Linked DNA regions of Macaca mulatta. The protein of the gene in region 1 purifies or fractionates together with the protein of each later gene. This does not show direct contact. Links are inferred from orthologs where the notes say so. Each region holds a gene or a part of one and is shown in the gene's direction. Other genes may lie near its edges.

Region 1 (8,015 bases):
CAACAGATCAGAGATTATGTGGTTTGCCAAACTGTATCAGTTGGTTACTAGGAGAAGGAGGGCAAGAACCCATGCCTCCTCCTTTCCACCTTCCCTCTGTTTTTCCTGGAACAGCAGAAACAGCAACCACGAGAGGCGCACTGTATGCCAGTGGTTGCACACAGATTCTTATGTCAGACTACTCAAGTTTAAATCCTAGATCTGTTACATAGTAGCAGTGTGACTTTGGCCAAGTACTATAACTGCTCTGTGCCTCGGTTTTTTCATCTATAAAATGTAGGGCATAATAGTATCGACTTTACAGGATTGTTATGAGGATTCAGTGAATTAATGTACTTAAAGCACATAACACACTTGGCACATTGAGTCACCATAAATCTAATTGTTATGATTTAGCACACACTCTGATAGCTGCTGATATAACAAATATTTAGAGGCCGGGGATTTTACCCACAGCTGTTTTTGTTTGATCTGAAGTTTAAAGAACACAAAACAAAACAAAAAACATCACTTGAGATAATGTTTATAGTTCTAGATATTTCACATAGAGATCCAAATTTCTGGTTTCTCTTTGAAATCAGGTCTGACATCAGTAGGCCAAAATTCTCAGGTAGTAACAATTGGCTGGGGCCAAAAGCAGCTGCCCCCTTTAATCGGTACCACTCATGTAAGGCTTACATCTTGTAACTTGACCTGCCTGACTACCGCATGCCTTTGTATTTGCATTTCAGATTAAGACAGCCTCTGCTCTCAAGGAACTCACAATCCAACAGGTGAGATGCATTTGCTAAACAATTTACAATATATTGTGATAGGAACAAGTATAAACTTGCAAATTTCAAAATACAGCAGTCACCTGAAGGAACAGGAGTGCCTTGAATGGTAGAGGTGCTGATGGTGACGTGTGTTGTCTAAAAAGTGGCTTTGAAAAAGAAAAGGAGAGGAACAGGGTTGTAAAGGAAATAGAATGTGCAAAGACATTGAAATGAGAAACAGCTTGTGTGTTTAGAAACTATAAGGAGTTCAATTTTGGAGAATACTGTACAACGAGAAAGGGAGAAGTAGGCTGACACTAAATATAATACACACCTCTTATTTTGTATTTTACTCTGTAAGAGATGTGTAGAACTTAAAAGTTTTCTGTCATTAAATTACAAATCTAGGTCGGGCACAGTAGCTCATACCTGGGAATCTCAGTGCTTTGGGAGGCTGAGGCGGACAGATTGCTTGAGACTAGAGTTCGAGACCAGCCTGGGCTAGACCCTGTCACTAAAAAAAAAAAGAAAATATTAGCTGGGCATGGTGGCATGTGCCTGTGGTCTCAGGTATTTGGGAGGCTGAGGCGAGATGATCGCTTGTGCCCAGAAATTTGAGGTTGCTACTGCACTCCAGCTTGGGCCACAGACCCAGATCCTATCTCTAAATAAATAGATAGATAACTAAAGAAAATTGAAAATTTAACTTCATATCTTTGGCCCTTGTCTTTGAGAATGCAGTGCTATACAATCCACAATATTCTATGAACTTTTTTTTTTTCTCTTTGAGACAGGAGACAGGGTCTCACTCTGTCACCTAGGCTGGAGTGCAGTGGTGTGATGTCAGCTCACTGCAACCTTGACCTCCTGTGTTCAAGTGATTCTCTCACCTCAGCCTCTGGAGATTGGGTTTCACCATGTTGGCCAGGCTGGTCTCGAACTCCTGACCTCAAGTGATCTGCTTGCCTCGGCCTCCTAAAATGTGGGGACTACAGGCGTTAGCCACCCTGCCGGCCTGTACTATTTTTCAATAGCAAATTGCCACTTCAAGAAGAAACCCTGTCGTTATAAGGGGTAAAATATAGTTTTAAGATTGGTCTGCAAATGAAGTTTCCTTATCTGTAAAATGGGAATAACAATGACACCTAACTCAGGGCTATTAAAGTGAGACTTAAACTCACTAAACTCATGTAAAGAGCTTACCAAGATACCTGATACAGAGGATAAGTGGTCAGTTAATGAGTCACTGATTCTTCCTTGTCTATGTACCCTTTTTTTGAGAAAGTACATCTCACTAAGTATGTATTTTTCATTGAAAACTAAAGTTAAATCAGGACTGATGACATTTTGCGACTGCATCTGGTAAAAAATAAATGCAAAAAATACTAGATTGAAAATGCCAATATAAAACTTACTTTCCGTATTGTAAAAGTTTCAAGAATAAAGATTTTTGCGCAACATAGAAACTGCAAGTTATCGTCTATAGTTAATAATTAAATAAAACAGTTTATTAGTGGTAGGTAATAAAGGTACTTAGTAAAAGAGACGGTTTGCCAGGTCCCCCGGCTCAATGAGCAGGCAAAGATTCTTTCAGGCAAAAGACACTTTCACATCTGACAGTAACATCTCGGATAGTCAGGCAGGTCAAACAATCACTTGGCGGGAAATAGATAAATACACACTAAATTCGCACAATCTGTTTCTGTTTAGTTTATAAACTGCGATCCAGAGGGTCAGCTTTCGTGCCTTGTGGGACTTGAAGTCCAGAAAGAAGAAGTGATCAGGGCTGCCGAGGCATGGAAGGGTGCAGCCCCTGCAGGTCTGAGCCCTACGAACCACAACTCCCGGCAAGCATCGGAAGGCCGCGTCGTAATTACGGACAACCAATCGTACCAGAGCAGGGCAAGCCCCGCCCTCTGGCTCGGTGGACCGCCTCCGCCAATGGCAGAGCTCCCATCGCAGAGCCTGCGGGTTAGGTTGTGAGGCCCGGGCCGGGGGCGGGGAGGAGCCAAGGGGGCGAGCAGGCTCGGCCGCTGGGTGGGTCGGGGCGTTCCGCGCGCCCTTCATTGAAGCGGCGGTGGCCGGGCTGGGCGCCGGGAGTGGGAAGCGACGGCGCGGCTTGAAAATGCCGGTCCATTCCCGAGGGGATAAGAAGGAGACCAACCATCACGATGAGATGGAGGTGGACTACGCCGAAAATGAGGGGAGCAGCTCCGAGGACGAGGACACTGAGAGTTCGTCGGTCTCCGAGGATGGAGATAGCTCAGGTGCGCGACCCAGCAGGGCTGGGACCCTGAGTCCCCGCGCCCAGCGCGCGACAGGCCGCTCTCTGCACGCCAGGCGGCTGCGTCCTGCTGGGAAAGCGGGGCGGGGACAGAGGGAAGGGGCGGAGACTGGCTCTGGGCCCTGGGCTGCACCCGGTCCGGTCGCTGGGCGCTGTCTGGCTCATGATGGGTCTCGGCGGCGGGGCGGGGCGGGGCGGGCCTGGGCTTGCCCAGCTCCCGAACGCGGCGCAGTCCTGCCCCCGGTGGTGCTCTGGAGCGACCGGCCGAGGCGGAGAACTTCCCACAGCAGACAAACTGGAAATGCCTCCTCTCCCCAACCCACCGACCTCTTTCCCTATTTTCTGCTTTGCAACCCTCACTTCTCAGCGCTAGTGGGTTGCCGGGGCCGAGTGTCGGCTTAGTAATTAACCTCAGTTTCCAAGTCAACTTGCCGGTGAGCACTTTTACGTCAGTCCCTTTTCGGGGGCTAACTTGAGAGCTGTCCCGTTCAGTAGCTCCCTGAAGTTTGCAAGACCTAGAGGAAGGGACCAACATTCGGGCTCATTTTGCGTCTTCATATGCTTATAAATTGGCTGAGTTTTGGCAGCGTTGAAAATTCTCCAAGTCTTTTCTTCCCTTCAATTTTTTTCTAACTTTGGGCTGTTTTAAATTATGTTGGGGTGGGGGAGAAGGAGGGCAGATTAACACCACAAATAAATTTTGCAAACTTTTAGGAATGTTTATTCCAAAGTGAAATGGAATTTGTGATTACCGGGATTATTTTCCTTCGATTGAAATGATGGAGATGAGACTGACTTCTTTGTCTTGGCCTGATTTTGGTCAAGCATTGATGATAGGTTTATGACAGCCTAGTATCATCCACATGCCCTCTTTTCATGTTTCCCTTGCAAAGCAAATCTCCATGGAAGGATATAATTTCAATCAATAAATCAGCCATCCAAAAATATTTATGAGTGACTTCTTTGTGCAGCACTGGGTAGTACTCAATATGAGGGATAAATAGTTATTATCTGGGCTCTCTTAAAGAGCTGTCATACATCACCACTTGATTAAATGCCAAATGAATGCTTAACTAAATATTGCTGTGGGAATTCAGAGGCAGAGGAAATCGTTTCAGTATTGGGTGGTGGTCACAAAGGCTAGCTGAAGAAGGTGGGATTACCTTAATTATCTTGAAGAATGAGTAGAATTTGGGTTGGGGTTGTGGGTATCCCTATAGGGAGAGGAATGTAAGGAAAAGTACAAGGGCCAGAGTTTAGGGCTTATTCAAAAGCGTGAAAACCTTGGGAGAAGAACTTGAGGTCGGAAAGGAACAGGAAATATAGATGTGAGGGATTTCAAAGAAAGCACAAAACAGGATTGATGAATGCAAGTTTAGGATTGAAGGTAAGAGAAAAACCAAGATACAAGGAGAGTGGCGGTAGCATCAACAGAAATAGAAAAGTGAAAGATTTAAGATGAAGGTGAAAGATAAGAGTATTTCAGACATGTTGCTTTTTTTTTTTTTTTTTTCTCTTTGAAACGGAGTCTCGCTCTGTTGCCCAGCCTGGAGTGCAATGGCATGATCTTGGCTCACTGCAACCTCCACCTCCCAGGTTCAAGCAATTCTCCTGCCTCAGCCTCCCGAATAGCTGTGATTACAGGCACACACTACCACACCAAGCTAACTTTTTGTATTTTTAGTAGAGACAGAGTTTCTCCATATTGGCCAGGCTGGTCTCAAACTCTTGACCTCGTGATCCACCCGCCTCGATCTCCTAATGTGCTGGGATTACAGGCGTGAGCTACCGTAACCGGCCTTTTTTTTTTTTGGGAGAAGGAGTTTTGCTCTTGGCACCCAGGCTGGAGTGCAATGGCGCCATCTTGGCTCACTGCAACCTTTGCCTCCGGGGTTCAAGCAATTCTCCTGCCTCAGCCTCCTGAGTAGCTGGGATTACAGGTGCCCACCGCCAATGCCCGGCTAATTTTTTGTGTTTTTAGTAGAGACGGGGTTTCACTGTATTGGTCAGGCTGGTCTTGAACTCCTGCTCAGGCGATCCACCTGCCTCGGCATCCCAAAGTGCTGGGATTACAGATGTGAGCCACCATGCCCGGCCAGACATGTTATGTTGCTTTTTTTTTTTTTTTTTTTGAGACAGAGTCTCACTCTGTCGCCCAGGCTGAAGTGCAGTGGCATGATCTCAGCTCACTGCAACCTCCACCTCCGGGGTTCAAGCGATTCTCCTGCCTCAGCCTCCAGAGTAGCTGGGATTACAGGTATGCGCCACCATGCCCAGATAATTTTTGTGTTTCACCATCTTGGCCAGGATGGTCTCGAACTCCTGACCTCAGGTTATCCGCCCGCCTTGGCCTCCCAAAGTGTTAGGATTACAGGTGTGAACCACCCTGCCTGGCCGACATGTTGCTTTTGGAGTGATGGCAGTATGTTTAAGAATGCCCAACTGACAAATGCAAGTGTGACATTGGAACCTGCCTGATATGGAAGGGGAGAATAATTTGTAAGTCATCTGCCTTGCCTTGAAAGTAGGTGAGATTTCGAAAGTGGGGAATATAGAGAAAGGAGAACATCTAGACTATATGGGAATATATTTCTTTTTTTTTTTTTTTTTAATTTTTTTTTGAGACCGAGTCTCACTCTGTCACCCAGGGTGGAGTGCAGTGGCGTGATCTCGGCTCGCTGCAACCTCTGCCTCCTGGGTTAAAGTGATTCTCCAGCCTCAGCCTCCTGAAAAGCTGGGATTACAGGCATCCGCCATCACACCCGGCTAATTTTTGTATTTTTAGTAGAGATGGGGTTTTGCCACATTGGCCAGGCAGGTCTTGAACTCCTGACTTCAAGTGATCCACACGCCTATGCCTCCCAAAGTGCTGGGATTACAGGCGTAAGCCACTGCACCTGGACTGTTTGTGAATATATTTCTTAGATCTATAAAGTATTTTATCTTCAAATGTTCTTGCATTTATGATAGGAGCTAGGATCTCAAAATTCCATTTGTTAAAATTCTCCCCCTATAATTTTTATGTTGACTGTTGTGATTTTTAACTTTTAAAAATTCCATCCCAGAAAATAATGGACAACTTAATTTTTGAAGAATGTGGTAATAATTTGAACTGCAAGCCAAAAGTTTAAGTGCAAAGAAATTGTTTAAATACATTTTGCAGTTTGCTTGTTAAAGCATCTCTGTTCTACCATATGTCTTTCATGTTAAACTTTCACAGTGTTTTCTTCTCAAATGTTGGTACTGAGCAAATTCTAAGGCTACAGAAAAGTCTCTACTGTCCAAAGAACTTGGATAGTGAGTCATCTTGAGGGACCAAGTTTTAAGTAGCCAAGAAGTAAGCAATCAAGAGCCAGAAATATTTTTAATCTGTTTTAGAAAATTAGAAAAAAAGTCATAGCCTTCCTTGTTATATAAAAATAATTGAACGTGATTTAACTCTTTCTCATAGTTTGACTTTTATTTGATGAAGATCAAGATGCAGATCATTTTGTGCTTCAGTTATTTTGATGAATGAATATATGTGATGTGAACATAGAAAATGTGGACTATAGGACAGACCTGGTAATTAACAGTTGCTTTCCTTAAAAAGTTTGTATTTTCCTCCTCATTTGCCTCTTTCTCACTGACTGATAGTAACATGGGGAGACAGAACAATGGGAACGTAGGAATGGCAGACCAGGAGAGCCTGTGGTAAACAAAATAAGATTAGTTTCCTTTTTTCTTTTTCTTTTTTTGAGATGGAGTTTTGCTCTTGTTGCCCAGGCTGGAGTGCAGTGGCACGATCTCGGCTCACTGCAACCTCCACCTCCTGGGTTCAAGCGATTTTCCTGCCTCAGCCTCCCAAGTAGCAGGGATTACAGGCATGTACCACCACGCCCAGCTAATTTTGTATTTTTAGTAGAGACGGGGTTTCTCCATTTTGGTCAGGCTGGTCTTGAACTCCTGGCCTCAAGTGATCCACCTGCCTTGGCCTCCCAAAGTGCTGGGATTACAAGCATGGGCCACCGTGCCTGGCCTTTCTTTCACTTTTCTTTTTTTTTGAGACAGGGTCTCTGTTGCCCAGGCTTGCGCAGTCTTGGCTCACTGCAACCTCTGCTTCTCAAGTTCAAACAATACTCCCACCTCAGTCTCTCTAGTAGTTGGGACTACAGGCATCCACCACTATGTCTGGCTAATTTTTGTATTTTTAGTAGACATGGGGTTTTACCACCTTGCCCAGGCTGGTCTTGAACTCTTGAGCTCAAGCAATCCTCCGGCCTCAGCCTCCCAAAGTGCTGGGATTACAGGGATGAGCCACCACGCCTGGCCACTTTTCTTTTTTTATGTGACTGGCAAATCAGCCATGTGAGCAGTTTGAAAGAAGAATCCCAAAAGTGTTTTTGAGCAATGTTAGCCTTTAAAGGACACAATCATTTTGGTGCTACATTCTGGTGAGTTGGTGGAAAACAAACCGAAAGTGGGCTAATTACTTTATAGTCATAGCTTAGAGTCAGTCCTTTAAAGTGATTTAAAAATGAATAAAAATAAGAGGGTCTATAGACCAGTATAGTTTTATATACTCATCTGTATTTTAGATTAAATCTACAGTGGATTTTTTTTTTTTTTCTTCAGACTAGGTCAGTCTGTCACCCAGGGTGGAGTGCAGTGTCACAATCATGGCTTACTGCAGCCTCCAACTCCTGGGTTCAGGCGATCCTCTTGCCTCAGCCTCCCAGTAGGTGAGACTACAGGCTCATGGTACTGTGCCCAGCTAATATCTTTTTTTTTTTTTGTAGAGATGGGATCTTCCTATATTGCCCAGGCTGATCTCGAACTCCTGGGCTCAGTCTGTCCTCCTGCCTTGGCTTTCCAAACTGCTGGAATTAGAGGCATGAGCCACCATGCCCAGCAGAAGTTATTATTTTTGATAAATGTTTATTTTCTTTTAAGGCTTAATATAGGTCTTGCCTTCGTATTACAGTTTTTCTTCCTAT
Region 2 (7,845 bases), on another chromosome or scaffold:
GTTTTGCCATCCCCTTGGCAGCCATCAGGATTTCTTTTTTCCTCCTCCTGCGCGTCTTTTCGTTTGACCATCTAACAGCCGTTGCTACTTTTGGGAGATCTGGCTAGCGGTAAATGAATAACATGGTATCAAGAACCTACCACAAGTCCTGCGTATTTTTATCTTGCGCTTGGCTTCGAAGTAAATGTAAAAGCCTGTTAGCTCAGTCCGTATTTGTTTCAAATGTTAGTCTACAGTTCGCAGGAGTGTGTGTAATTAAAGTTTTTGAAAAGTTTATTTGTGATACTTTTTTGCCCGTTTAAACAGTTTTCAGTGTTATCCGTGAGAAACTTTTCAGGTGAACTTGCATAATTTCAGATTGCTTTGGGAAAATGTGTTATAAATAAATACATTGATTTAATTTAATATTCAGAAAAGTTGATAACTGAAATTTAAATATAGTTATGAAGTCGATAGCTCATTTGTAAAAACGGATGGTTTTGTATCCGGAATATAATTTGGGCATTCAGTTGGAAAGACTGGAAAGCATACATTATGTTACAAAAATATGCTCTTCTTTAAGTAGAGAAAGTACTGTCAAGTAGCAAAAGTGGGCAGCATCATCTTTCCCCTTAACAGTTAAAAATTCAACATGAACTAATTCATGTCATCCTCACTGCTATTTATTTATTTATTTATTTATGTGAGACAAAGTCTCACTCTGTTGCCCAGGCTGGAGTGCAGTGGCGCGATCTCAGCTCACTGCAACCTCCACCCACCAGGTTCAAGTGATTCTCCTGCGGTAGCCTCCTGAGTAGCTAGGATTACAGACTAGTGCCACCACGCCCGCCCAATTTTTTGTATTTTTAGTAGAGACGGGATTTCACCATTTTGGCCAGGCTTGTGTGGAACTCCTGAGCTCAAGAGGTGCTGGGATTACAGGCGTGAGCCACCGCGCCCGGCCCCTCACTGCAATTTGATGCCAAAACCCAGAGGGTTGGAATTTCTCATTCTCCTCTCCCTCCCTCCCTTCACCCCTTCCCCAAATGGAACCAACCCCTCCTTCCCCATCCACCATCCTTTTAACAGTATTCCAGACTTCTTATGTTTTAACAGGGTTTAGGATTTAAATGTATAAATATTTCATTGTGTTAACAATGGCCATCTTGACTGTCTTTATTTTTACTATCTGTGGCATATGTGTTTTACTAATACATAGACACATTTTACTGTAATCATTAGCAGTGTGTGAAACTTTTCTGTTTCAGGCAAGGCATCTTTACATATGTGATTATCATAAAAACTTAATTCAGAGTGTTCGAAACAGAAGAAAGAGAAAAGGGAGTGATGATGATGGAGGTGATTCACCTGTTCAAGATATTGATACCCCAGAGGTAAATGGAAGTTTTTTATGCTTAATATAAATCCTAAGTAGTGCATTCTGAAACCTTTATAAAAAGATATGAACAATCTTTTAAGTGTTTAAAACATTTGAGAAATCTGAAAATGAAAGCAAAATTAAATATAGCCAGTTGTCATGCATTTACACAGTTTGAATTGTTACATTTTAAATTGACAATTTTTGCGGCTCTGTTGTCACATAACTTACTCTTTTTTGACCTCAGTTTATATTATTAATCCCCAAAAGATTAAACTGTTTAATAATTTATAGGTTTGATTATGTAAATTTTTTAAATAATTTTTTTGATTTTGGAAGTAAATTTTTATTGTGCTGAAGTTAAAATGTTTGTTATTATACATATCGATGATAAATTTTCCACAAATTGTATGAACTAATTTATGCATGTTAATTTTTTCTAGGTTGATTTATACCAATTACAAGTAAATACACTTAGGAGATACAAAAGACACTTCAAGCTACCAACCAGACCAGGACTTAATAAAGCACAGCTTGTTGAGGTATATATGATTTTTAAACTATTTGAACTATGCACAACCGAGAGGCTGTTAAATGCTAATGAAAGTATTAATGTAGTATATGTAACAGTACATTTAACAGTACATTTTATTTAGAAAGAACAATGTTAAAAAATCTATTGTGGAAGAATCTAGTTGTCTAGAAATGTTTGTCAGCCACTTAGGAAATTCCTTTTTGTAATGACTACTCAGCAGGTTGTGTACAGCACCTTCTGATACTGGCTTTCAAAATGTGTTGTTTGTTTTTTGAGACAAAGTCTCGCTCTGTCACCCAGGCTGGAGTGCAGTGGCACGATCTCGGCTCATGGCAACCTCTACCTCCCAGGTTCAAGCAATTCTCCAGCCTCAGCCTCCCAAGCAGCTGGGACTTCAGGTGTGCACCACCACACCAGGCTGATTTTTGTGTAATATCTTTAGTAGAGATGGGGTTTCACCATGTTGGCCAGACTTGTCTCAAATTCCTGACTTCAAGTGATCCGCCCACCTCAGCCTACCAGAGTGCTGGGATCAGCAGTGTGAGCCACCGTGCCTGGCCCTCAAAATGTTGAATGAGAGTTTTTTTTAATCCTCACTTTAGAAATCTATTAGTTTTAAAACTCCATTTAACCAGTAAATGTTTGAGCATCTAATTGAGGCATAATAAATTTAATTAGCAAGCTTTAATGTCCTTATTAAAATTTATATTTTAAAGTGGTGGAGTAGGCCTACAAATCAGCCCCTAAACAGTATTTTTATAATTTGCTGACTTAACTATTTCAAAATTGGTCCTTGTTGATGTTAGTTTTATTAGAGACATCTATGTTTTCTTCACATCTAGAAGAGGCAAAAGCTTTTCTTTTACCCAATCTTTTACTTGTAGTTTGCTTTGACAGAGGACTTCTAGTTAGTCAGTGAGTTGTGAAAGTTAATGGAGTATGCATATGTTCTCAGGATATAATAGAACCAAGAAGTCTGTGCATCTTATTAAGATGCTTATAGATTGATATATTTATATTTTAATCATATTTAAAATTTTTGCTTGCAGCTACTCAGGAGGATTGATTAATCCTAGGAGTTTGAGTCACCATGGGCAACATAGCAACACTCCATCTCTAAAAAAGAAAATTTAGCCTACTAGACAAAATAGAAGTGTAGATATATAAATCGGTTTTCTCATATTCTTTGCATGGATTTAGTAGTTACCCAACATTTTCTAAAATGTACAACATTTCATTGAATAAAATGAAATATGAATAGAAGTTACATTTATCTGATGGAACGCTTTTTAACATTGTTAAAATCTAATACATTAACTATTTAGCTAAAATTTCTTATCCTTGGTTAGGCAACACGGATCTAATTAATTTTTCTTTAATTTTGATTTAAAAGATCAAGTTCTTTTGGGGTTGTACAATACATTATGTAACGTAAATATAGATCTTGCCCACCATGATGAAATATTTCAGTAGGTACTAATGGAGTGAAGGCACCCCTGTTTTGGAACAAATGAGAACCAAAGAACTAATTATTTTAAATGTTACATTTAGGTATAAATTAAACCTGAAATTTTTGATAAACTGACCTTCTAAGAACAGTTATATTATTTCTAGAGCTATTTTCTTTTTTATACATAAGAGATAGCCATGAGTGTTATATTTTACTTAATCAGAAATGCAGTTATTAACAGGTTAAGGAATGTGGAAATGTGCAGATGTAGTACATATATTTTAAGACAGGGGTCCCCAACCCCGGGGCCATGGACTGGTACTGGTTGATGGCCTGTTAGGAACAGGTCCACAGAGCAGGAGGTGAGCACCAGCTAGCAAGAATTACTGCCTGAGCTCCGCCTCCTGTCAGATCAGCCGTAGCATTAGATTCTCACAGGAGTCCAAAACCACGTGTGAAGTGCACATGTGAGGGATCTAGGTTGTACGCTTGTTATAAGAATCTAATGCCTGATGATCTGAGGTGGAACAATTTCATACCAAAACCAACTCCCCCACCCCCAATCTGTGCAAAAATTGCCTTCCGTGAAATCGATCTCTGGTGCCAAAAAGGTTGGGGACCACTGTTTTAAGGGATTCCAGGGTTGTATGACTAAGTCTTAAGTCTCGTAATTGTTGTGTGGATGAACTTTTTTCTTAAGAAATTCTATTTTCTGGAATCTAAATATGCTTGTCAGCACCTCAGGTAAGTCTATTAATCTTCTATTCGTAATTGTAGTATGCATATTACATTAGCACAATGAAAAGGCAAGGAAGCAGGTAAACATCCTTCATTGAACATCCCTCTTTCTCCTCTCATTTCCATTCACAATTTTTATTCAGAAAAATTTTCAAGGAACCTTAACCAAAGAATGCTACCAAGATACGAATGAATGAATGTAATTTGCAGCAAATAATTTATATGTTATTGTTGATTACTACCAAAAGTTTTCAACTTCATACTTCTTTTTCTATCAGTAGGGTCTAAACCATTGCAGGTTTAATGATGCATGTGGTCTCTTACATCTGTTTTATCTCATTTAAAGTTTAAAAGTAAAAACATGTATTCCCTACTCTAGATTCCAATTATAAAATTTATTATTTTTATCTTATTTATCTTTTTTGAGACAGAGTCTTGCTCTGTCACCCAGGCTGGAGTCCAGTGGCGTGATCTCAGCTCACTGCAACCTCCACCTTCTGGGTTCAAGCAATCCTCCCATCTCAGCCTTCTGAATAGCTAGGATTACAGGTGTACACCACCACGCCTACTTAATTTTTGTATTTTTTTTTGGTAGAGATGGGGTTTTGTCATGTTGCGCAGGCTGGTCTTGAACTCCTGGGCTCAAGTGATCCCCCTACCTCCGCCTCCCAAAGTGCTGGGATTACAGGTGTGAGCCACCACTCCTGGCCCAATTATAAAATTTAAAATAAATAAAAGGAAAATGTATTTTCTAATCAATGTATAGTAAATTGAGTGAGCCAAAAGGTCCTTTGAAATCACATTATCTCTTGTTCATAACATTTTATTCTTAAATGCTTTTTGTCCTGTTGGTATTTTCTTAAATATAATTTTTAAAGGAAATAGCTCTTATCACATAGATTTTTTCTTTGGATGAAACCGTATTTTTTACCTAGTTTATGAAACCTGTTATATCTAAAATTTAATTTCCTTAATTTTTTTTTTTTTCTTTATAGATAGTTGGTTGCCACTTTAGGTCTATTCCAGTGAATGAAAAAGACACCTTAACATATTTCATCTACTCAGTGAAGAATGACAAGAACAAATCAGATGTCAAGGTTGATAGTGGTGTTCACTAGGAGACGTGGAATTGAGACTAATAACTTGGATGATAACACTGTTTACTGTTTTTTCACATGTAGAAATGTTCTTTGTGTATTTTTTCTACAGAGGATTTTCTCTGATTTTATTTTCTTTGTTTCTGACTCTAATAATTAGTTGGAAACTCATGTAAAATGAGCTTTCCTAAATTAAAAACTATTTTAAATAAAGGTTATTACTATTATAGTTGCTTCAGTGTATTTATTTTGTGAAACTTGATTTTTCTTTTAAACTGACTTAGAGATCAGTATTGATATTTTAATGTAAAGTCCTTCATTTTATAACCCCCTTTTTTTTTTTTTTGTAAACTTCCAAGAAATTAACAGGGTAAGGAGAAGTAACAAATGTAGCACATTTGCATTCTCTGGGACAATCTGACTTGGAATTGAAGATATTTTAAATAGCATTATTTTTTTTAAGTGCTTTATAATGCTAGCAAATTTGAAAAATAAGCTTCTATTGGAATACAACTTCTTTTTTATTTCCTTTTTTTTTTTGTTATTATTACTTGATGAAGTACTAGGAAGAACAAATGGTTTAATTTATATACCCACCTCGTTCCAAAGACAACTTAATGTGCCAGTGAAGATAAACACAATGCTGAAAGTCGAAATAAGAACATGAAATGAAATAGCTGTTTTTGAAAATTTTGTCTTTGGGAAAAGATATTTATGTGGCATGAATACAGAAAGTACCTCTGCTATGCCCCTTAATTTTTAGTGATGTCCTGTACTGTTTACATTGCAAATGGTAACTAGTAAGTTGGAGAGGTCTAGATATCTAACAAGATCTTCATTTAAATTTTGGTTATATATGACTGACTTGATTTATCCATCTCCGTTTTATGTTTCATTCCTGGTCAGTTTTCTATCAAACATTCTAAACCTCTGCTTTTCCTGAGATTATATTGTTTAGCTAAATCCTTATAATTACAAATCAAATTTATAGTTTGTAACGCTTCAGCAAACTGTTGTGAGATAAAGCTGCGGATTTTAGGCTGGAAATGGATGAGACCATTAATGTAGCTCATGATTTCTCAAAGTTGACATTTGGACTCAATAATTCCTTTTGGTGGGAGGCCGTTGAGTCTATTGGAGGATTAGCAACATCCCTAAGTCCACTCAGTAGGTGCCAGTAGCTCCTCCAAGGTGTGACAACCAAAAATTCCTCTAGACACTGCCAAACATACTTTGATGGTCAAAATCACAGCTAGTTGAGAACCACTGATGTAACTAAAGTACTGCATCTAAAGTACTAGTTCATTAGTAGGTGACTGCATATTTTCAAGTGTTCTTAATGTATTGACTGCTAGAAAATATAATGAACAATAAAGCAACTGGTCTTTGGTTTTGCTATGACCATTGAAAGATTTGCTTGCTACTTTATTAGCAAGCACAGGCTGTAATAATTGCTGTCATAGAAACTTCTCATTTCTGGAATTCTGGAAATCTGTGAGAAGACTTCTTATAAAAACATTTTGAGGCCGGGTACACTGGCTCACACCTGTAATCCCAGCACTTTAGGAGGTCAAGATAGGCAGATCACTTGAGCCCAGGCATTCAAGGCAAAATGGTGAACCCTATCTCTACAAAAAAATACAAAACTTAGCTAGGCCTGGTGACGTGCATCTGTAGTCCCAGCTACTTGGGAGGCTGAGGTGGGAGAATCACTTGAGCCTGGGAGATTGGGGCTGCAGTGTGCTATGATTGCAGCACTGCACTCCAGCATGGGCATTGGAGTGAGACCGACTCAAAAAAAAAAAAAAAAAAAAACCCAAAATGAAACCCATATTCTGTTCTTGTGAAAAACAAAAGCTTGAAATTATTTGCTGATATAAAAGTATGAACATAACCTTTGGCAATGTTAATTTCATATAATTATTTGTGTAATAAAATGTAGTTTTATAAAATATGAATGAAGAGTTCTGGATGGTAGTTATTCAATGAAATCAAATCCTTGTTAATTTAAAATACAAAAAATCGGATCTTGTAAGTTGAGAAGTAACTCAAGGAGCTGCAATGTAAAAGTCAGTTTTATATGAAAATTTCAGTGACCATTAGATTTTTTAAATGATGAATTCATTAAAAATTATTTTTACTTATCCATATCTGAACAAAAAATAAATGGAAACTCATTTCTATAAGGGTATAGGTTACTTTTGATGTTAGAGCATTAAGAAAAGAATCTAAATTTAAATGCCACGAGAAGTAGGAGGAAAAAGTATACTGAATGGATAGCAGGGGCTCAAAAAATAAGTTAGTTATTTGGTTACTAACTTCAAAAGAATAATTTTGGGAAAGGCCTAAACATGCCTGAAATTCATGTCTTTACAACAAATTCTATATTTTTCTACATGAAGTCTTTTTAAATTAAGAAACAAAATATACAATTAATCATTTTAAAGTGTACAATACGGTGGTATTTAATGTATTTGCAATATTGTATAACCAGCAGCTCTAATTTCAAAACTTGTCACCCGACAAAAACAGCCATACATAGTCACTCCCCCTTCTTCCCTCTCCCTATTCCCTGGTAACCTCCATTCTGCTTTTTATCTCTATGAATTTGCCTATTCTGGATGTATTATAAGGGAATCATACAATGAAGTACTGCAAGTTGGATGAA
Region 3 (7,831 bases), on another chromosome or scaffold:
GTGAGGTTCGCCTGAGCCCAGGAGGTTGAGGCTGCAGTGAGCTGTGATCGTGCCACTGCACTCCAGCCTGGGTGACAGAATGAGAGCCTCTTTCAAAAGAACAAAAAAAGAAAAAAGAAAAAAGAAAAAAAAAAAGAAAAAGAAAATAAAAGAAAAAGGAAAGAGAAATTTAAAAAATCATAGTATAGTGTTTTTCAAACTTCAAGTTGTGACTAAGCTCAATCATGAAGTCCATTTAGAATTTGCATTTTTGGAAAAATGAAATAAAATTCATCCCTTTCTTGTGTGTGTGCACCTGTTTGTGCCTGACTCTATTAGCTGAGCACAGAAGAGACAAAAAGAACAACCCCAGAAAAGTGCCAGAAAAGATTAGGACCAGAGCTAAGAGGTTGGGGAGAAAGGCAAACCCAACAGATAAGCAATACAAGAGAGAAAACATCACTTTTTTTTAATTCAAAAAAAAGTAGTTGATGGAAAAAAGGCCAAAAAAAAATTAAATAGAATTGACAGATTCAATTTAACAACAACAAAAATGCAAAACCAATGAAATATGCTGTACATGATACCTTCGGATTAAATGCATGATAGCGTGTGAATATTCTCAGAAACTCCCAAAATATTTGTTCCGTATTTCCTTCTCTGACCCTCACTGAGGTCAACAGTATCAAGATTTTAAAGCCACGTCGTCTGGGAAGATTTCTTTTCTTTCAGTCCTTCAAACATTTCTTTTAATAGGTTTTGGAAATCATGCCTACTTATCAGAAATCAGTACACTGTATTAAAGGGATACAAATCATCTCCCAAGCCGCCTCTTGTTTTGCACACGAGGTTCTCTTTGAAGCAGAGCCATAAGGTACAATTATTCTAGAACAAGGTGGGCAAACTACAGTCCTCCGACTAAATCTAACCCACCACGTTTTTGTATGGCCCTCGAGCTGAGAATGGTTTTTCCGTTTTCAAGCGGTTGAAAAAAAGATTTTGTGACCCTGAAAACGATTTCAGTGTCTGTAGTTTTATTGGAACACGGCCAAATGTATCCACATTTTCCACGGCTGCTTTGCGCTACAACGCGACAGAGTCGAGCAGTTGCCCCCGAAGCCTAAAATATTTACTATCTCGGTCCTGTTAGAAAAAGTCTTGCCAACCAGCGTCCTAGAATATGAGGGCTGTATTGCTTAAACACCCTTCCAACTCTTTTCCCTCTCCAGCCACCCCCTCAGCCTTAGGCACTAACAAGATTCTTTGACCCGGCATAGGGGGAGGGCGTTATAATAATGAACTGTATTGTATCGGAAACAAGACAGTAAATATCTACAGAAGGGAATGTGTGACTGGTTCTGCCACTGACTAACGTCTGGGTTTGCGTCCCGGTCAGAAAAGTGGGCATGACAGCGGCATCTGCAAGATAGCATCTGAGCATGAAGGCACTTGGAAAGGTATCAAGGCAGCAAATGTTCCGGGGGTGCTTTTGCAAGAGGAGCCTCTCTCGGAGCTGGACGTACACTTCGGTTCCCTTTGCACGCAGGCACCTTGGTCGCCTCCCCCAACTCCGTCCCCTCTGCTCCTGGCCCTCATTTTCTTTTATTCCCCTTTTGGCCTTGCAGCCAGTTTTCTCCTCCCCCGATACACTCCCCAGGGGCTATGAAGTTCCCGAGCAGAGCATGGCTCAGGTAAGCAGGCCCAGGGCAGTTCAGCCCTGCTCTCTCCAGCTCCGCCAGCTTGGGGTGGGGTCGCCCTGGGACCCCTGCAGGTGACAAAAATGACTCAGCAGGGGCCGGGGCTGGGATGCGAAAGGAATGCCAGTGCTGGAACAAAATCCCCTGAAGCACGAAGAGGCCTCAAACCATCATCTTAAGGACCCAAACATCGAACAAATTAAAATGTAACAATGTAAATCGGTTTCGGCCCGCCGGCGGCCTGTGCCGCTACAGGCTGCACATTTAGCCTAACAAGGCGGCCCGGCGGCTTTTGCAGGCAAAAAACGCCCGCGGCCTCTCCAGAAGCTCTCTTCCCTCTGAGACCAGCCCCACCTCGGCCCGACCGGGCCCCAGGAAAGGCCAGTCGGCTGGAGGAGAACATTTCAGGGGTGCAGAGAATTGCATGTCCGTGATTATCAGGGAGACTTTGAAGGCACAGTAATCTCTCGAGAACAGGAACCATTTTCCCCTCTTGCTCTGAGATTTTGCTTGGCTAAGCGGCAGCAGCCTCCCTGCCCCCCTCTCACCCCCACCACCGCTGCCGCTACCAGCAACCACGCCCCGCGGGCCCCAAGGCTAGCCGCCCCGGGGCTCGCGGCCCCCGCTCAGCCGGCCAGCCGCGCCTCCATCCACCCCACCCTCGCGCGCCCCCATCCGCCCCGCCCCCTCGGGCCCTCATCCGCCCCGCCCCCGCGGCCCCCATCCGCCCCCGCGGCCGGCCCTGGGAGCACCGGGCGAGCCCTCGCGCCTGCGCATCGCCAACTTCCTGCCGCGGCACGCTCCGCCCACCCCCAGAAGCCCGCCTCCGAACGCCGCGTGAAACCCGCCCGCCGCGCGTCATTGGTCGCGGCGCTGGAGCCGTTGGCTCCCAGACCCGCCTCTCCGCCTCCTCTCACTTTTCCCAGGGCGGATGCGCCTGCGCTTAGCTGCCTGGGCGGGCTGGGAGGCGCGGGTTGAAAAGTCTCGTTCCAAGTTTGGAGAGAGAGAGAAGAGCGCCTCAGACCTCGGTACCCGCGAGCGGGGAGGAGGCAGGAAACAAGGACGCGGCGTCTGGGGAGCACCCAGGCAGCAAGACTGGGCCCGGGCTTTCGACCGCGGGGAGTGTGTGACGCGTTTGGGAAAGGCAGGAGCGCCAGTGGTCGGGCTGCTCTTGGCTAACGAGGGGAGTCCGAGGCGGCGGCGAGGGGCGAACGACCCGACGCAAGATGGCGAGTAAAGAGAGTAAGAGGCCCTGCGGGGCGGCGCGCGCCGGGGCCGCGGGGGGCGGCGGGCGCGCGAGGCCGCGGCACGCGCCGGCGAAAGGCGCGAATTGGCGTGCGGAGCAGGGGGCGGGGCCGGGCGCGAGGCTGGGCGCGCGCCTCGAGGGGCCTGCGCGGGACGGGACCGCCGTGCCGAGGGCTCCGAGCACTTCCGGAGCCGGGCGCGGGGCCGAGGGCTGGGCCCCTCTCTTCTCTTCCCTCCTCCAGAGGCTGCGCTCCCTCCGGCGCCCTCGGCCCCGGGGCGGAGGCGGCCGCCGCCGCCGGGAAGCGAACGCCGCGGCTCCTTCTACGCGCGCGCGTTGACCGCCTCGGGGTCGCGGCCCTTGTCCGGGGGTTGCTGGAGCCCTCAGGCCTATGGCTGCCGAGGCGGGTGTCGTGGGAGCTGGGGCCTCCCCTGATGGGGATTGGAGGGACCAGGCCTGTGGGCTTCTGGTACACGTGCAGTTATCTTCCCGAGTGGGTCGCGCAGCCCCTGTACGTACAGGTCGTCATCTTAGAACAGGTGCGAACAGCTGTAACAGGGTAAACAATTTCCATGTCCGTGTAATTGACTACCCAACATGGTATACGCAGAGGGTATTGATCTCAACGGAAAAAAAGAGGCTTCGTGGTTGGTAGTATTTTCTTCACCTTCTGGAAGAGCAGTTAGTTGTCCGTGTCCAAATTAGAGGTAAAAGGAAAGAGTACATGAGGTGTGGCCATCTTGAGGTGACCTCCAATTTCTGACTTCGATCCATCTCAGCCACTTAATTGTGTGGGCTTTCTCCAAATTTCAGTGTTTGAAGATACTGTGGAGGAGCGTGTCATCAATGAAGAATATAAAATCTGGAAGAAGAATACACCGTTTCTGTATGACCTGGTTATGACCCATGCTCTTCAGTGGCCCAGTCTTACCGTTCAGTGGCTTCCTGAAGTGACTAAGTAAGGGTTTCTGGCAACTTTTTTTTTTTTTTTTTTGCTTAAATTTAACTGTCGTTCTGAATTTCCTAGTTTTGGCGTTTTATACCTAGAACATAAGTATGTAATCAGCCCTTGCATGGGGTGGCAGGTGGTTTTTATTTTCAAAACTTAACGTGATTTATGGGATGATTTCTGGCGTATAGTGTGGTGGTAAAAGGGGAGAAAGAATCCGTTGTGAGATTAATGGTATTTGGAGGAAACACTGAATGTATTTGACAGTTCCTGGGCTCGAATGTAGAGCAGCATCTCTCTGGGCCCAAACTAATGCGTTTCTTTAAAACTTTATTGAAAAAGAGAATATTTACAGAAAAGTTCACACATCATAAGTGTTGTATGGCTTCATAAATTTTTGCAAAGTGAACACACGTAACAGTCACCCAAGATAAATACATTTTAATTGGTAAAGGCAAAAAGACCTTGTCAACAATTGACTAAAGAAAAGATGTTATTGGCTTATGGAATACACTTTGAGATTGCCGTTAGTCTTCATAAGAGTATTCTTTTCTGTTAGATCTACAGTTTCTCTGGTAATAATTGCTGGCATTTATTGAGCACTCAACAGGGCCTGGCACAGCTGAAGAATCTACGTCTTGTTGTAATCCTCACAGTAGTACTATGCTGTAGGTAATTTTCATTATCCTTGTTTTACTGATAGGGGAACTGGGAGTGAGCGTTTAAGTGCCATCCCAAGATCACACAGCTGGTCCCTGCGTTAGTCTGCCTTTCTCATTCACTTGAACCTTTTCTAGTAGGAACTTGACCATGTACTTTTAAAGTGTATTAAATATGGGGCCAGGCACAGTGGCTTATACTCCTGTAATCCTAGCGCTTTGGAAGGTTAGCTTGAGCTCAGGAGTTCAAGGCTGCAGTGAGCCATGATTGCGCCACTGCATTCCAGCTTAGCCAACAGAGAGAGACCCTGTCTTCCAAAGAAACAACAAAAAAGCATCTTAAATTTGAGTGTTGTGGGCATATAATTTAAAGAGGATTAAATGAAACTCTAACCTAAAAAGAGGATTTTGCAACAAGTTATAAAAATAATAAGCTAATTTTGGCTGGGCGCGGTGGCTCACGCCTGTAATCCTAGCACTTTGGGAGGCCGAGGCAGGTGGATTGCCTGAGCTCAGGAGTTCGAAACCAGCCCAGGCAACACGGTGAAACCCTGTCTCTACTAAAATACAAAAAAAAAAAAAAATTAGCCGGGCGTGGCAGCGTGTGCCTGTAGTCTCAGCTACAGGGAGGCTGAGGCAGAAGAATTGCTTGAACCTGGGAGGCGGAGGTTGCAGTGAGCCAAGACCGCACTACTGCACTCCGGCCTGAGCGAGAGCAAGACTCTATCTCTTAAAAATAAAAATAATAATTACAATAATAATCTAATTGTATATAAAACTGCTCTTACAATGGCTAGGTTCTCCATATGCAAACATTGATTTCCATACAGATAGGAATTTCCACTGGGCTTCCCAAAAATCTAAATGTAAATGTACAGATGTGGGAAGAGTAGAGAAGAACTAAGTGATGGACACTTGGAAGCATTGACGTTTACAGTCACCTTTGAACAGATTAAAAACTAGATTAAGCATCGTATGCCCAGGGGTATTCAAGTTCTGGTTTGAGCATTGTGTGCATTTGCCTCTTTGGTCTGTTAAGCAGATTTAAAATGTATTAACTAAATTTACCTTTTTGGGGATCTTTTTGACCCACTGTAACATAATGGAAAACAGCAGGGACTTTAAACTTAGAGACCTGGGTTAGAATCATGCCCCTGCTTCTTCTTAGCTTTGTGAACTGGGGCCGTGTTGTCTGGGCTGTAAATGGAGATGTTGGTCGTACTGACTACCTACATTTGAGGGAATTAAATGAGATCATGCATGTTAAAGTGCCTGGTGCAGCATAAGTACACAGTAAGTGGTGACTGATGCTGATTCTCCCACCCCTTCCTGTTCAGAAATAATTTGTCAGGATTGAAATAGCTCTGTGTTTCTTCATTTGGATTTCAATGGAAGCTACTTGCTGAAGTTTTTTTTTTTAAATGTTACCTATAATATGTAATACTTAGGAATGTAACAGAAAATGCTTTAATTAAATTATTTAATATGTATCATGGTGTTCTTTGTATACAAAGCTGTTGTGGGATTGAGTTGTGGGACGTGCAGTGCCTTAGAGAATGTAAGAAAATGCCAAGCAGCCTGCATTCTTGGATGTTGAGGATTGCTGTGTGGTGCTTTGCAGGGTTCAGTTAGGGGTATAAAGGGACTGTGTTTTATCACCATACAGAACAGTAAAAATGTTGACTGTTCCTCAGTGTCTGACTCTGAGGAACAAGACCCTGCTCCACCTCATAAGCCTTTCTTCTGCCGACTTACAACATGCTTCATAACAATTACTTGGACTTTCTGAGCTATTGTCCTTCAGTTGAGTTAGGTAATTGTCCAAATAATTGATTTGGCTTGCTTTTTTTTTTTTTTTTGAGACAGAGCAAGACTCTGTCTCCCAGGCTGGAGTGCAGTGGCACCATCTTGGCTCACTGCGCCCTCCACCTCCCAGGTTCAAGCGTTTCTCCTGCCTCAACCTCCTGAGCAGGTGGGATTACAGGTGTGTACCACCACACCCAGCTAATTTTTGTATTTTTAGTAAAGACAGCGTTTCACCATGTTGGTCAGGCTGGTCTCAAACTCCTGACCTCATGATCTACCCACCTCAGCCTCCCAGAATGCTGGGATTACAATTGTTGATTTGACTTTTAAAAGGTTTTATTTAGATATCTCTAAGAAATTGTTTTTTTTTTTTAATTAGGTAGTTATTTCATATCTCTTGTTGAATAATGTTTTAAATATATTGAGACTAAGTTATTGTCTACCTAAAAAGCTTTGTAGTTTTTCAAATTCAGGAAGTACAAAAGGATGTAGAGTGAAGAATAAGTCCCCTTTCCACATCCCTTACTGTCCTACTTCCTTTCCCCAGTCATTGTTTTCAATTTCCTAACCCATCCTTGCCAGCGTGTAGAAGTGCATACCTGTATCTTCATTTTTTATGGTAGCAAGTTCTTGAGTTTGTCAGTAAGAGTACATATTGGAGATTTTCCTGTCAGCATGCTTGGATATGCTTGTTCTTTTCAAGGGTGCCATAGAATTTTGTTTATAGATACACTGTGTAATATATGATACCAGTTCGTTACTGATGGATGTTTAGTTATTTTCAGTCTTTTTGCTGCTATAAACAATACTGCTGAGAATAATCTTGTAATAGGCCATATTTATGTGATGCTTGGCTAAATTTCCTAGTGGTAGTTACTGGGGTCAGAGGATTCTGCACTGAAAATGAATAGGCTCTCTTAACCATTAGTGCTTCTGCAGCCTTTAAATACATCCAGTATTGGAGGAAAGTAGTGTCATATTGATTAGTTTAGGAAAACAGGCTGTGTTTTAGTGATGGAGGTGAAAGGATTTCTAGTAGAAAGAAAAGTCCTCATGTGATGATCAAGTTGGGGAAAACTGGAATAATTAAATTTGAGTCCAGAGGGATTTTTAAGCACCTCCAGTCCATCTTGGGACAGTGTTCATTAGAAAGGGCCTATGATAAACTGACCTGTCTACCTGTAATTTTTTACCTGTGAGTCTCAGTTTTCTTGCTTAACTCCACAAAAAACAAGTCACTTTTTTCCTTTGATGTCAGTCCTGGCATTGCTTTGTGGTGCCTTCTTTCTCTCAAGCATTCTTATTTCTCTTTTTAAATATTTACTTTTTTTTTTTTTTTTTTTGGTGGAGATGGGATTTTGCCATGTTGCCCAGGCTGGTCTCGAACTCCTGGGCTCAAGTGATCCGCCTGCCTTGGCCTCTCTAAGTGCTGGGATTAGAGGCATGAGCCACCGCATGTGGCCAAATATTTCTTCTTTCTTTCTTTCTTTCTTTTTTT

What was found.
Region 2: the proteins of BRMS1L (region 1) and SAP30 purify together in Homo sapiens (affinity purification with mass spectrometry; 4 studies listed by BioGRID and IntAct, with this or other methods). This does not show direct contact. The link is inferred for Macaca mulatta from reciprocal best matches to the Homo sapiens genes BRMS1L and SAP30.
Region 3: the proteins of BRMS1L (region 1) and RBBP7 purify together in Homo sapiens (affinity purification with mass spectrometry; 4 studies listed by BioGRID and IntAct, counting the BioPlex papers as one, with this or other methods). This does not show direct contact. The link is inferred for Macaca mulatta from reciprocal best matches to the Homo sapiens genes BRMS1L and RBBP7.

The regions. Positions count from the first base shown.
Region 1 is NC_133412.1:108,943,359-108,951,373, forward strand, and holds the start of BRMS1L (breast cancer metastasis-suppressor 1-like protein), read left to right. Parts: upstream 1-2,823; 5' UTR 2,824-2,880; coding exon 2,881-3,022; intron 3,023-8,015. UniProt on the Homo sapiens protein: Involved in the histone deacetylase (HDAC1)-dependent transcriptional repression activity. When overexpressed in lung cancer cell line that lacks p53/TP53 expression, inhibits cell growth.
Region 2 is NC_133410.1:181,803,994-181,811,838, forward strand, and holds the end of SAP30 (histone deacetylase complex subunit SAP30), read left to right. Parts: intron 1-1,247; coding exon 1,248-1,373; intron 1,374-1,800; coding exon 1,801-1,899; intron 1,900-5,075; coding exon 5,076-5,198; 3' UTR 5,199-5,390; downstream 5,391-7,845. UniProt on the Homo sapiens protein: Involved in the functional recruitment of the Sin3-histone deacetylase complex (HDAC) to a specific subset of N-CoR corepressor complexes. Capable of transcription repression by N-CoR.
Region 3 is NC_133426.1:16,535,879-16,543,709, reverse strand, and holds the start of RBBP7 (histone-binding protein RBBP7), read left to right. Parts: upstream 1-2,557; 5' UTR 2,558-2,902; coding exon 2,903-2,918; intron 2,919-2,971; exon of another isoform or gene 2,972-3,310; coding exon of another isoform or gene 3,311-3,458; intron 3,459-3,732; coding exon 3,733-3,877; intron 3,878-7,831. UniProt on the Homo sapiens protein: Core histone-binding subunit that may target chromatin remodeling factors, histone acetyltransferases and histone deacetylases to their histone substrates in a manner that is regulated by nucleosomal DNA.